2 linked regions of the Caenorhabditis elegans genome follow. The protein of the gene in region 2 interacts with the protein of the main gene of each other region in a pairwise test. Each region holds a gene or a part of one and is shown on either strand. Other genes may lie near its edges. The genes, in order: lin-31 and pals-17.

The links.
Region 1: the proteins of pals-17 (region 2) and lin-31 interact in a two-hybrid assay, tested with the Caenorhabditis elegans proteins (2 studies listed by BioGRID).

Annotation. Positions count from the first base shown.
Region 1 is NC_003280.10:3,980,590-3,987,575, reverse strand, and holds lin-31 (Protein lin-31), read right to left. Parts: upstream 5,028-6,986; 5' UTR 4,923-5,027; coding exon 4,756-4,922; intron 4,122-4,755; coding exon 4,040-4,121; intron 3,704-4,039; coding exon 3,623-3,703; intron 3,248-3,622; exon of another isoform or gene 3,056-3,247; intron 1,493-3,055; coding exon 1,109-1,492; 3' UTR 547-1,108; downstream 1-546. Other genes in the region: K10G6.5 (Serpentine receptor class gamma), read right to left, coding at 1-38. UniProt on the Caenorhabditis elegans protein: Lin-31 regulates how vulval precursor cells choose their fate. It helps specify three alternative cell fates in vulval development.
Region 2 is NC_003281.10:1,389,821-1,393,876, forward strand, and holds pals-17 (Protein containing ALS2cr12 (ALS2CR12) signature), read right to left. Parts: upstream 2,033-4,056; 5' UTR 2,015-2,032; coding exon 1,972-2,014; intron 1,927-1,971; coding exon 1,878-1,926; intron 1,829-1,877; coding exon 1,741-1,828; intron 1,690-1,740; coding exon 1,601-1,689; intron 1,258-1,600; coding exon 954-1,257; intron 909-953; coding exon 726-908; 3' UTR 630-725; downstream 1-629.

The sequences.
Region 1 (6,986 bases), on a different chromosome or scaffold from region 2:
GAGATAGCTACAGTTGCACAAAACGAAAGAAGCATCATCAATGCGACCGCACTGAAGTATGGCGGGTTGTTCTTCAATTAAAGATTAATTCAAGTGAAATAAAGATAAAGATAAATCTAACCAGTAAATCCAGCGGAAAAAGGCTAACTTGATCTACCGTGTCATCTACATTCCATTGTGGCAAAAAAACCGAAATGCCGTTGAAACACCACGAGAATACAATTGAGAAAAATAAAGCAATAAGTAGAGTATTTATACGGTTTTTTTGAATCCATTTTTAAAGAATTTTGAGCGTATGTATAAGAATTCGGACGCTATTCTTATACGCAAATTGTAGGAGGAGTCGTAGTATTTCGACATAACAATTTATCAAATTTCGATTGACTCATCGATATCGTTGCATTCGTATTGTTTGAATATTCTGTAGTCTTTCGGGAAAAATTTGATATGAGAGAGTCACGGTAAATATCAAAGATAACAACAATTACGGCAGCGTTGGAAAAAATTGGCATTTTTAATTGATGTTTCAAGTAAAAAAAATCAAACTAACCACTGGCAACTTTTTCATTATTTGGAGAAAAAAAAACGTTATTTGGTTGTTTATGACTAAAAAGAGCCTGGGAAATTAATAAATATTTTATATTCAATACAAAAAATATTGGGGAACAGAGTACAAGAAGTACTTATCACAAGAAGAAAAATCTAGAAAATCAATAATTTCAAATGTATAGGGACTAGGTTTAGAACAGAATTGACATTCTGAAGTTTAAGCTTCAGAAAAAATCTGAAAAAAGTTAACACCGATGGAAATATTGGGAGCTGGGATGTGTGGAATGTTATCATTGATAATATCAGTTGTTAGTAGGTCCTCCGCTTAGCAGCCGACAGTTTACAGGTTTTGCCCCGTGAAATGTCGGCTGCTAGGTTGGGTTAGTCGGTTAGTTGGTTAACAGAGCGCATTTGCACATTATTGAAATAGAAAATCGAATCTTAAGAAACAAGAAAAGAAAGACAGGATGACAGAAAATGAACAGGAAAATGTGTGGCACAATTTAATGAAAATATTATTTTTTTAATAATTAAAAGGTAGTGAGATGAGCTCAAAAGCTCAAGAGCTCAAAATCGACTCAATACTGAAAGAAGAGTTGAAGCCAGCTTCAGGAGTTGGAGTCTTCGACGATGAAGATCCCGACCCAGAAATCTCCGATGTTTCAGAGTGTGGAGTCGAGCTCTCAAAATTCGAAGAATTTTTCAAGAAATGGGGCATTAAAAGTAGGGAAAGAGGGTTCAGAAGCAACGATTTTGTAGGATCCATGCCTGGAGGAAACAGGCAGAAATTTGGGAGTGATGGTGGAAGATTTGGGAAAAGGGAGGAGAGGAGTGGTGGGGTTATTGGGGGCTCCGGGAGCAGTGGAAGAGGATTTTTGCGAGAGATTTTCGATGGAGCCGGGTGGTGGAAGTCGTCGTCGTCGTCGTCTTGGCCGCCGCGAGCCTGAAATTGAATTTTTTAAATATTTTTTAAAACTGTGTTTAAAAAACGTTCAACTTTTACAGCAAAATTTTATGATTCAATTTTAGAAAATGCACTATTACCAGTACAGATAGTGTAGATAGTTGAAGAGACAGAGACATCCCGGGACCCAAAGGACGGGGCGCGGAAAAAGCCGATTTGTGTCGATTTACGAAATTCTAGAAACGAGGAAAACTGTAAATCGACGTAAATCAGCTCTTCCCGAGCACCGCCCCGAAAAAGTCTGCGTCTCTTCTCCAGCATTCTTTGTAGATCAAACCGAACTGAAACACTTTGACACCACATGCCGGTAGTAATTTAAAAGGTACCTTACAGTTATGCCTTTCAAATTTGCAGCACTTCTATAATTCATCTCTTAAAGTACATATACTAATAAATCAGGCACCTGACAAACATTGACACCTCGCTCCACCACCTAAATATCTAAATTCAAACCGCATCAATCTTTGTCTTGCCTCTTCTTTCCCCTCCAAGTGATTAGTCCTCCCCTCCTCGCCCCAAGGCCATTTAATCTACCGTACTACCTAAAACATTGCGCGAAATGGAATGAACCATAGGCAAAGAGAATCACTTTTGTTTCCAATCCGTCTTATGTACATGTACAAGTGATACAGTTATATGTATATGTGTCACATATTAGCTAGCGCCCCGCGACAGCCCTTCTTTTTCGGCGGGGGACCCCCCGCTGGACAGCCTGACTGTCATTTTAATGGGCTTGTGGTTGGAGGACAGACTGTATGGAGGATTTGATATTTGGAACAGTACATTGGAACAGAATTATACCTGTTTGCATAGTCATGTCCCCGTTCTTCCTACCTACATGCCTAAGTGCTTGCCTACAGCCTTATATTTCAATAGGTGTAGAGTTCCCAAGCCGAATAGTTGAAAAAAATTTAAAGTTATGTGCAAACCCCGCTCACCCCACTCAAACAAACTCTTGCAACTTCTTATTACTTTTTCTTTGTCCTCTTTTCTAACTACTTCATCATACACACACAGACACAAGTCACTCATTTTCATTTCAACATAACACTACAATATTGGATAGGAGGCATCTGTTGCCCCCCCCCGTAGAAGTAGTAGGAGTACAACTATTGCAACAGATGGCACATTTTATTGGGTAGTACCGGGAGGAGAGTATTTCGCGCGCGTAAGTCAATTCATCTTAATATGACTGTTTAATTGTATTGAGTAAAATTGAGTGAAAATTGAAAATATTTTGGGGGGGGGGGGGGGGGGCGAGGTTAATTACCCTATGTAGATAAACGTTTCAAAACCATTTTGATAAAAAATTTTTGTCAAATTTAAAACTTTGCAGAATGATTTGAAAATTGCAGGTCAGTACCAAAACCACAGTGCCGAAGCTTCCTATTCTCCGAAGGCATTTGCGATTTCTGAAAGTTCCAACTCTGCAATTTTTTAAGAATTTTGTACATTCTCAAAGTTGCGCAATTTCGGCTGAACCAAATACACAGGTACTCTTCATTGCCTAATCTTAAGCATAAGTCTAAGCCTAAGCCAGAACCTAAGCTTTACCCTAAGCCTAACCCTGAGCCTGAACCTAAGCCTAAGCCTAATCCTAAGCCGGAGCCTAAGCCTAAGCCTAAGCCTAAGCCTAAGCAATAGGCTAAGCCTGAACCTAAGTCTGAACCTGAGCCTAAGCCTAAACCTAACCCTGAGACTGAGCCTAAGACTAAGCCTAAGCCTAAGCCTAAACCTAAATTTAAGCCTAAGCCTGCGCATAGCCACACTATCTTAAATATTTGTTCACAGTCTTCCCTTTAAACTACAGTACCCCACATCAAAATCTGCAAAGTCTTATCCAATCCTGCAGCCGTTCATCATAATCTCTTCCCCCAATAGTCTCTCAATCGTATTTAAAACAAATTTCTCGCCTTTTCTGTCATCGACCAACCTTGAGGATTACTGTAGAATTGTCTTTCTCTCTCAAAATCGTGAAGGGGGAAGCACGCGCGCGCCCTCTCTAAATCAATTTTTCGTTTTTTTTTGTTGGAGATTTTTGCGTTTCTCTTTGAAGTGATAAGATCATTAATTTACACAATTTGATAAGTACAGTAACCGAAGACTTACCCGAAATCGTTTCCGACGCCGTAAGCAGCTGCCGTTCTCGAACATTCCGGAGGCATTTGGGTGCACCGCCCAGTAGGAGCCCTGGAATTTTTTACGGTGTTTTTTTTTCGGAAATTTAGAAAAAAAATTATCACAGGATTTAACATGGAAATTGCAGAATGAGCAAAAAGTGTTGCAGATTTACTTTAGCTCTAAGGACTACGGTAGTTGTTTTGTTGGTTCTATAAAGTGAGCATGTGCTCATTGAGGGCAAAAGAGCACAAAAAGAGAGCAAACGAGTTCTTGGAAAAACCCATATATAGTATGTAACTTTTTTTTGCTAGAAATTCATCTTTGAAAATTGCAAATTGTTTAGGTTTTTAAAAATTAAATTAATAACTTCGGAAATTTTATTTTTTTTTAAATTACAAATATTACCTTCCCAGGACGATCGGCTCTTCTTGGGATCTTGATGAAGCAGTCGTTGAATGACAAGTTGTGTCGCAGGGAGTTTTGCCACCTGAAAACATTACATTTTGAGCTGATTTTTATCTTTTTTTCTGAAATGTTGAAACTAATGAATACACTTTTTGAGTTTTTTAGAGAATTTTTCTGTTTGTTTTAAAGGAAATTTCATATATTTTTAAGTCACTTTAACTATAAAAAAATCAAGAGAAAACTTCGAAAATATATTTCTAGGACTTTTTTTTGTTTAAAACATTGAAAATTGCATATTTTTGAACCCAATAATTTTTCTTATAAAAGTGGGGAAACTACAAGAACTAATCTATAAAAGTGAGAAAAAACCCCAAAATAAACCGGACTGAAAACTATGAAATTTGGAGTTTTTGAGCATATTTTGTATATTTTTTCAAAGCAAAATAACTATGGAAATACAAATATCGAAATTTCAGAAAAAAAACATTTCAATCTTCAAAGCTCTGTTAAAACGCAAAATCAGTCACAAAGGGAAACTTCAATGTCAGATTTTTTTGTTAAATTTAACTTGAAAATTTTTCACAAAATGGCCTTAAAAAATGGATTCTTGGAAAAATTGACAAAACCCCCCTTTTTTGGGTTTCAGTAACACAGGAATTTTAGAAAAACTAGAAATTTTCTTAGAGCTCAAAAACTTTCAAACCCCCAACTCATACCTCTGCGTGTTTTTCCTATAAAACGGAAACCGATCCATAATATATTTGTAGATCTCCGTGAGCGGGAGCATTTTATCGTCAGAGTCCTGAATAGCCATATAGGTGAGCCAAATGTACGAGTACGGTGGCTTCTGCTCATCGTACGAGTCTTTTCCGGGTCTTGGCATTTTTCAGGGAATATGTATAGAGTTTTGCTTGGATTGATAATTAATAAAGAAGGTTTTGGAATATATCAAAATATATTGAAATCTTAGCGATTGGGAAAAGTCAATTTGTTTGAGAAGCCAAGCCTTAGAAGGAGAAGAAGGGCGGAGCGTTGAGTGGGCGGGGCTGGCCAACGGGGAGACAGCGCTTACCGAGACCGCCCGTAAGGGAAAAAGGCAACAACTTGTAATAAGGAAAATGACAACACATTTCTAATAGAAAAATAAGTCTTTGTTTTACATTCACATCACTAACCTATATTTGGGAGGAACCAGTTACTCCTGTTGCTGGTGCTGCTGCTGACCGGGTATCACGCAGCCCCCGCTGAGTTGGGGCATCTGGTGTGGGACGGGATTCACTGGAATACTGAAGATGAAAGAGTTGATTGTGTTTTTTTTTGAAAATGTAGGTAAACTGGTATCAGACCACCCGAGAACTGTCACGACTTGTTTGAAATTTTGAGTGACACCGAGAGCGGTAGGGGGGAAGCGTTCGAATTAACGGGATTAGTCCATGGAATGGTGGGGTGTCTAGGTGGGAAGAATTAGTGTCAATATTTGAATTTTTGTTGGACAATTTTAAAATCATGAGAATTACTAAAATATTCAAATATTTGGGTCACCTGGAGAGCCTAGAGCACGCTTCAACTTCAAACGCTCATAACTCTGCGGTTACCTGAGATATCAAAAAACTGTCAACTGATTAAATATTGGTCATAAAATTTTGCACATTTTGTTAATTGACAACTTTTTTATATCAAAAATATTTGTGGAGTTATAACGGATTAAAGTTTGGAGACCACCTAGTGAAAAAGTACGGTAGTTTGGGTTTTCTGCAACAAGAAAAATAATTTAAAAAGCATAGAAAATGTTGAATTATTATGCATTCGAAAAAAGTTTTGGTGAACATTTTCTACAAAAAAATGTATACCAAATGAAAAAGAAACTAGAAAACCTCAGTAGAAAATTTCACTACAATGATTTAGAGAAATCTTAAAATCTTAAAATCCAACTCTGAAAGGATGTTTTCAGCTAGTTTTTTTCAAAGCTCCATTTTTTGCAAGTTTTCCTCATTTTCTAATTCCATATTCTCGAGAGTACACTAACCCCATTGTCCTTATTCACCCCCCTCCCAGTTAGATATTCCATTTGACACTTCACCACTTTTTTGGAACAATTTCACTCATAAATTCCGTAAAGTTTCTCATCGTCACCACCACCACCATAATTTAATGAATGAATAAAGTAATATATATAATAGTAGTAGAGACACCCATTCTCATCACCTAATATTCTTCTCCATAAATTGTTATTACCTACCGTACTCTCGGTTTAAAAAAATTGTATGTGGGAGAATCAAAAAAGGGTAGTGATTATTCTAATTAAATATGACTGGGTTTGTCTCGGGACAAAGATTTTATAAATGAGATTTGGGATAAATGATCAATGGGGAGCTAAAGGGACCTTTAGGGCGCAGCGAGTCGTAATCAGAAAATTTAAATCAACTCCCGGGGGCTCGAACTCATGACCGTTTGCTTCAAAGTCGTCCCTCTTAGCCACTGCGCCACTTGGTACGGCGCCCTAAGAAAACGGCGCCACGGATGGCTCAGTGGGTAAGAGCAATGCCTTTGGAGCAAAAGGTCAAGGGATCGAGTCCCCGTGAAAAGGTTTAGGTTTTGAATACCGCTGATTTCAAATTTTTTACTTGAAAACTCTAAAAACACACGTAAAACGTGATACTTCGTAATTATGTTGATAAAAATCAATTTTCTTACAAATTTACAATGTTCTAAATCAGCTCAGCAACTTCGAAGACAGACCAGTAAAGACAAAACGAAGACATCAAAATAGAAGAAAAAAGAACCAGTTGTCCTTACGGAAGAATAAAAACCGCAATGCCATCCACCAGTTAATCAAAAACGGTTTCCTCCTCCTCCTCCTCCCGTCAATCTCCTTCATAAAGGACATCTCTTCCCCACTGCCTGCCTGGGGAGAGCGCGGCAAAAATCGCGGCATTTTTTGGATCAA
Region 2 (4,056 bases):
CTGAGCCCAGTACTTGGCTCCCAGTGATTCTTATCTCACGAAACGTTTGGAACATGTTAGTGTATATCCAAAGATTGTTCCTGTGAAATTTGGTCTAATTTGGAACACGTTCAGATGTTTTATTGCAAAAATAATTCAATGGCACCGGTAGATGAGACATTTTTAACCAAAAAGTTTGGCTTACAAACTATGATAAATTAAAAAAAACAAAAAATAATACGACAATATCTTACTATTAGGATAAATTTTCCAAAGTGAGAACCCTATTTTCTGTCATCGACTTTTATATACATATGCTCCTAGAACTGTTATCAGTTATGGTATCCATTCTGGGTGATAAACTTTGATGACGATTGTACAGCCGACTGAAATGTATCACCTTGTAGAAGTGTTGATAAGCAACTACTTCTCTTCAATTTTCTGCGTTTCCATAACTCTCTATTTGAAAAATCAAAAAATGTGGTGCGAATACTCAAGTGACGTATTAGTTTTAGTCGAAACAAATTTAACATGATTGTTTCATTAAAACATCAATAACTTATCTGAAACTTTGAAATAGTTCCCTACAACACAGTCAAACTAGTCTTGCATGAAGACCTTGGTGGAAAATACGGCATATGTATGTAAACAACACGTTAAAGATCTTTATTTAAGACCATATTAGGTAAGTTTTCAGATAAAAAGTCGGTAATTGTTTACAAAAAAAAACAAAAAGATATTCTTCATTATACATTAAAATCCGAACAAATATCAGCCATTTCCTGTAAATCGAGATGAAAGTTTCTCAGATCATCCTTGTACAGCTCCACTCTCTCGGCATCGTTATTGCTACAAGCTATTTGGTAATGAACGCACAAAGATCGGAGATTCGAGTAGTTAACAAGTTCTCCCATTTTGAGAACTTGGTCCTGTAATTTAAATAAATGTTTACTGAATCAATAAATTGTACATACCGATAACTTTTCAAATATATCCGCATCAATGTAGCTAGATCTTATCATAAAACTTTCAAAGTACTCAGTTTCTTCCTCAAATTGTTGAATTTGGCGTTCTATGCTATCGGAGAACAACTCATCCGAAATACCATTTTCCACTGCATTGTCCACGTCCTTCTCAATTTCACGCAGTAAACGGACCATTTTTGAAAATAACCTCATAGCTTCGTTTCTGTTCTTGAGCTTTAGAAAAGCAATGTAGTTTTTCCTCTTATTCTCTAATTTGTGAATTTTCAAGTTGTGTTCCTGCTCCAAATGTTCCCTGTTAAAATTACAAAGTATGGTTTTACTTTAAGGGTAGCAATAAATACTTCACAATTGGACTGGTAAGACTATTTGTAAAATATCCAATAGTGTTGATAATAATGAGCTATATTCAAAAGCAACGCGTAAAAGGTGAGCTGTTTTAGGAATAATCTAACAATATATTCGAATTGTTCAGTAAGTGTGCAAGATCTGTTAGGCGGACTTTGGTTAGACCAGGGAGTGGTGAACTATGCATATTTGTGAAAAAACGCAAGTTCCAAATCTGTTTTACCTGGCACTGGCCTGTAAGTTTGAAGGCCGTATATGTCAAATAGCACGCCGTCTATAAAAACACTAACCTTTCATCCTCAAAATTTTTTAGCATTTCCTCTTCCCTTGTTTTCTGGAATGCTCCATTTTTGTTTGAATATAACTTCCTGTTTCCGGGCTAAAAGTTGAAACTGTAAGTATTATTATATATTCTCAAAATAAAATATACCTTAAACTCATAATATTCAGGTTCCATGTAGTTAAGGTTTGACTGCTCTGGTCTAGCAAAATCGCCTTGCCTCTCCATAAAAAACTGTCTGAAGGGTGAAAAGCATTATTTAGACTTTTGAGACTTATGGGTTTTACATTTCTTTTCCTTCCGAAAATGTTCTTCTCAGCAGGTTGCTTTGTTGAGCTGAAAACTTAATTTTACAATTTTGACTTGGTCAAAGGAACAAACCACTGATAGACTTTTCACTAGAAAACTTTGATGAAAAATTCATTTTTGGCGAGGTGGTTCTGTAAGTTAAATTTGGAAAAAACGAGGCACTAAATTCCAAAAAACGGACGTGTGTGAGAGTTACTAGTACTTTTATGCTCAAGAAGTTTCGTTAGAAAATTTCATAACTGAAACGTTTTGTTTCGAAAATGAACATTGAGGAGGTCGCAAGTAAGTTTCAAAAGTTCATGCTAGTTGTCTATAAAATGTACTAAAAATAAAGACAGAGCAACCAACTGGGAGTATTATGAAAGGTCTATAATTATGTAGTAATGTATTGAATCAATGTCACTACATGACGGGTGCTCACTGCTTTGTTTTGATAATGGTAAGAAAATGAATCACACTTGTATGTGTGTTTTAGACTACGAATCTGCAAACTTATTAGTTGACGGAATTTCTCCAAGTTCTACCTTTCCGTGGCTACCGGAGGACAGTGCGTTGGCTTCTGGCTCGCGTTATGCATGATCTACCAGTGAGAACACTTTGGGAACTAACAACTAATTTAGAAAGGAACGAAACAATCCTTTCAAGTTGTAAGACATTCAAAAATGTCTTGAGCAAAAATTTTTCGGAAATTCATGGGAAAATGCGAAAATCTGGACCCAAAAAATATCAGCGGCCGACATCTCACGAGTTTTGCACCCCGTTGCGTTTACCGTGACAGTGCGGCACGCCGTCAGCAACGTAAGACGATGAGGGCGTAGTAACTGTCACGGTAAACACAGCAAGCCGCGAAACTCGTGAGATGTCGGCGGATAATATGTTGGGTCCCGATTTTTGCATTTTCCGGGGATTTTCCAAAAAAGTATACTTCAAAGAATAATTGTTTAAACTGTACCCCACTAGAGGGACTAGACCTTTAAGCAGTCCTAGTTTATTGTCTTAAATTATAGTACTCGGTACTATTACTAAGAATATAAAAGAAAACGTCACGACCAGAAGTCATGGAAAATTTTTAAATCCCCTATTTTTCACACATGAGAATTTTGAAGCAATATATGAACATCCGAAAAGAGTAGAAAAATGACGTAGGTGCAGGAAACTTTTTCAAGTGATAACAACCCTTTTAAGGAAAATGAAATGTGTAGATAACATAATTTTTTTTCTTTTTTTCTCCTTTTTGCTCCACTTTATCGTCGTCTCTCTCGTTTTTGTTCCGCACAGCAACCTAGGGCACGAATTTTTAACCAATGAGAATCCTGAAGTGTGCAGTGGGGCGCGCTTGCATTCTGAATCAAAAGTGAAACTTTGAAAGTGTTTTTCCTGTTTTTCATCGATATTTTTGGGAGAATAAGGAAATATTTATCAGAAAAACACATTCCAGTAGATTTTTTGAATATATGGTTGCAGTTTTTAGTTCAGAAAATACAAAGAACGCATATTTCGTTTTTTTTTTTGAATTTTCAAAAAATATCTAATGGCAGGGTATTTATCGGAAATAAAACAAACATTATGGGTCTCCTATTTTGTAAAATGCATCTTAGTACTATCAAAGTATAGTAATTTTTAGATTTCACAGAAAAATAGTGCATATTTGTTCTATTTCAATGTACATCCTATTTATGTTTCTCAAAATGCTTCCAATTGCTGTTATTTTGTGCCATTGCGCTATGAAAATTGAATTTTTAGGTTGTACAGTACTGAAAATGATAAATAAAACAGCACACTCCTCACAGCTTGTTTTTGAATTTAAATTTATAATTTCGGTGATTATGTACAACAAGTTTCCCTTGATGTTTTGGGAAAATGTGTAAGGCTCCGTCAATCAAAACTGGTCGGAGTTTCAAAGTTTTGCGCACGATTCTTGCACCACACTTTGAATTCATTGCTAGCGTTGAAAAATACCGCTTTCATGGTTTGATACATAAAAAGATGTTTTTAAAAAAATCGAGAATTGTAAAAAATTTGCACTACAGAAAATGTGTTTCTTTTTTTCGAAATCGATTTTCCCTCAATTTGTTTTTAAATAATGTTTTATTTGGTTTAATCTAGATTTGAATCGACGGTAATTTGATTTCCAAGCGCATTTTGAGCAAATTTATA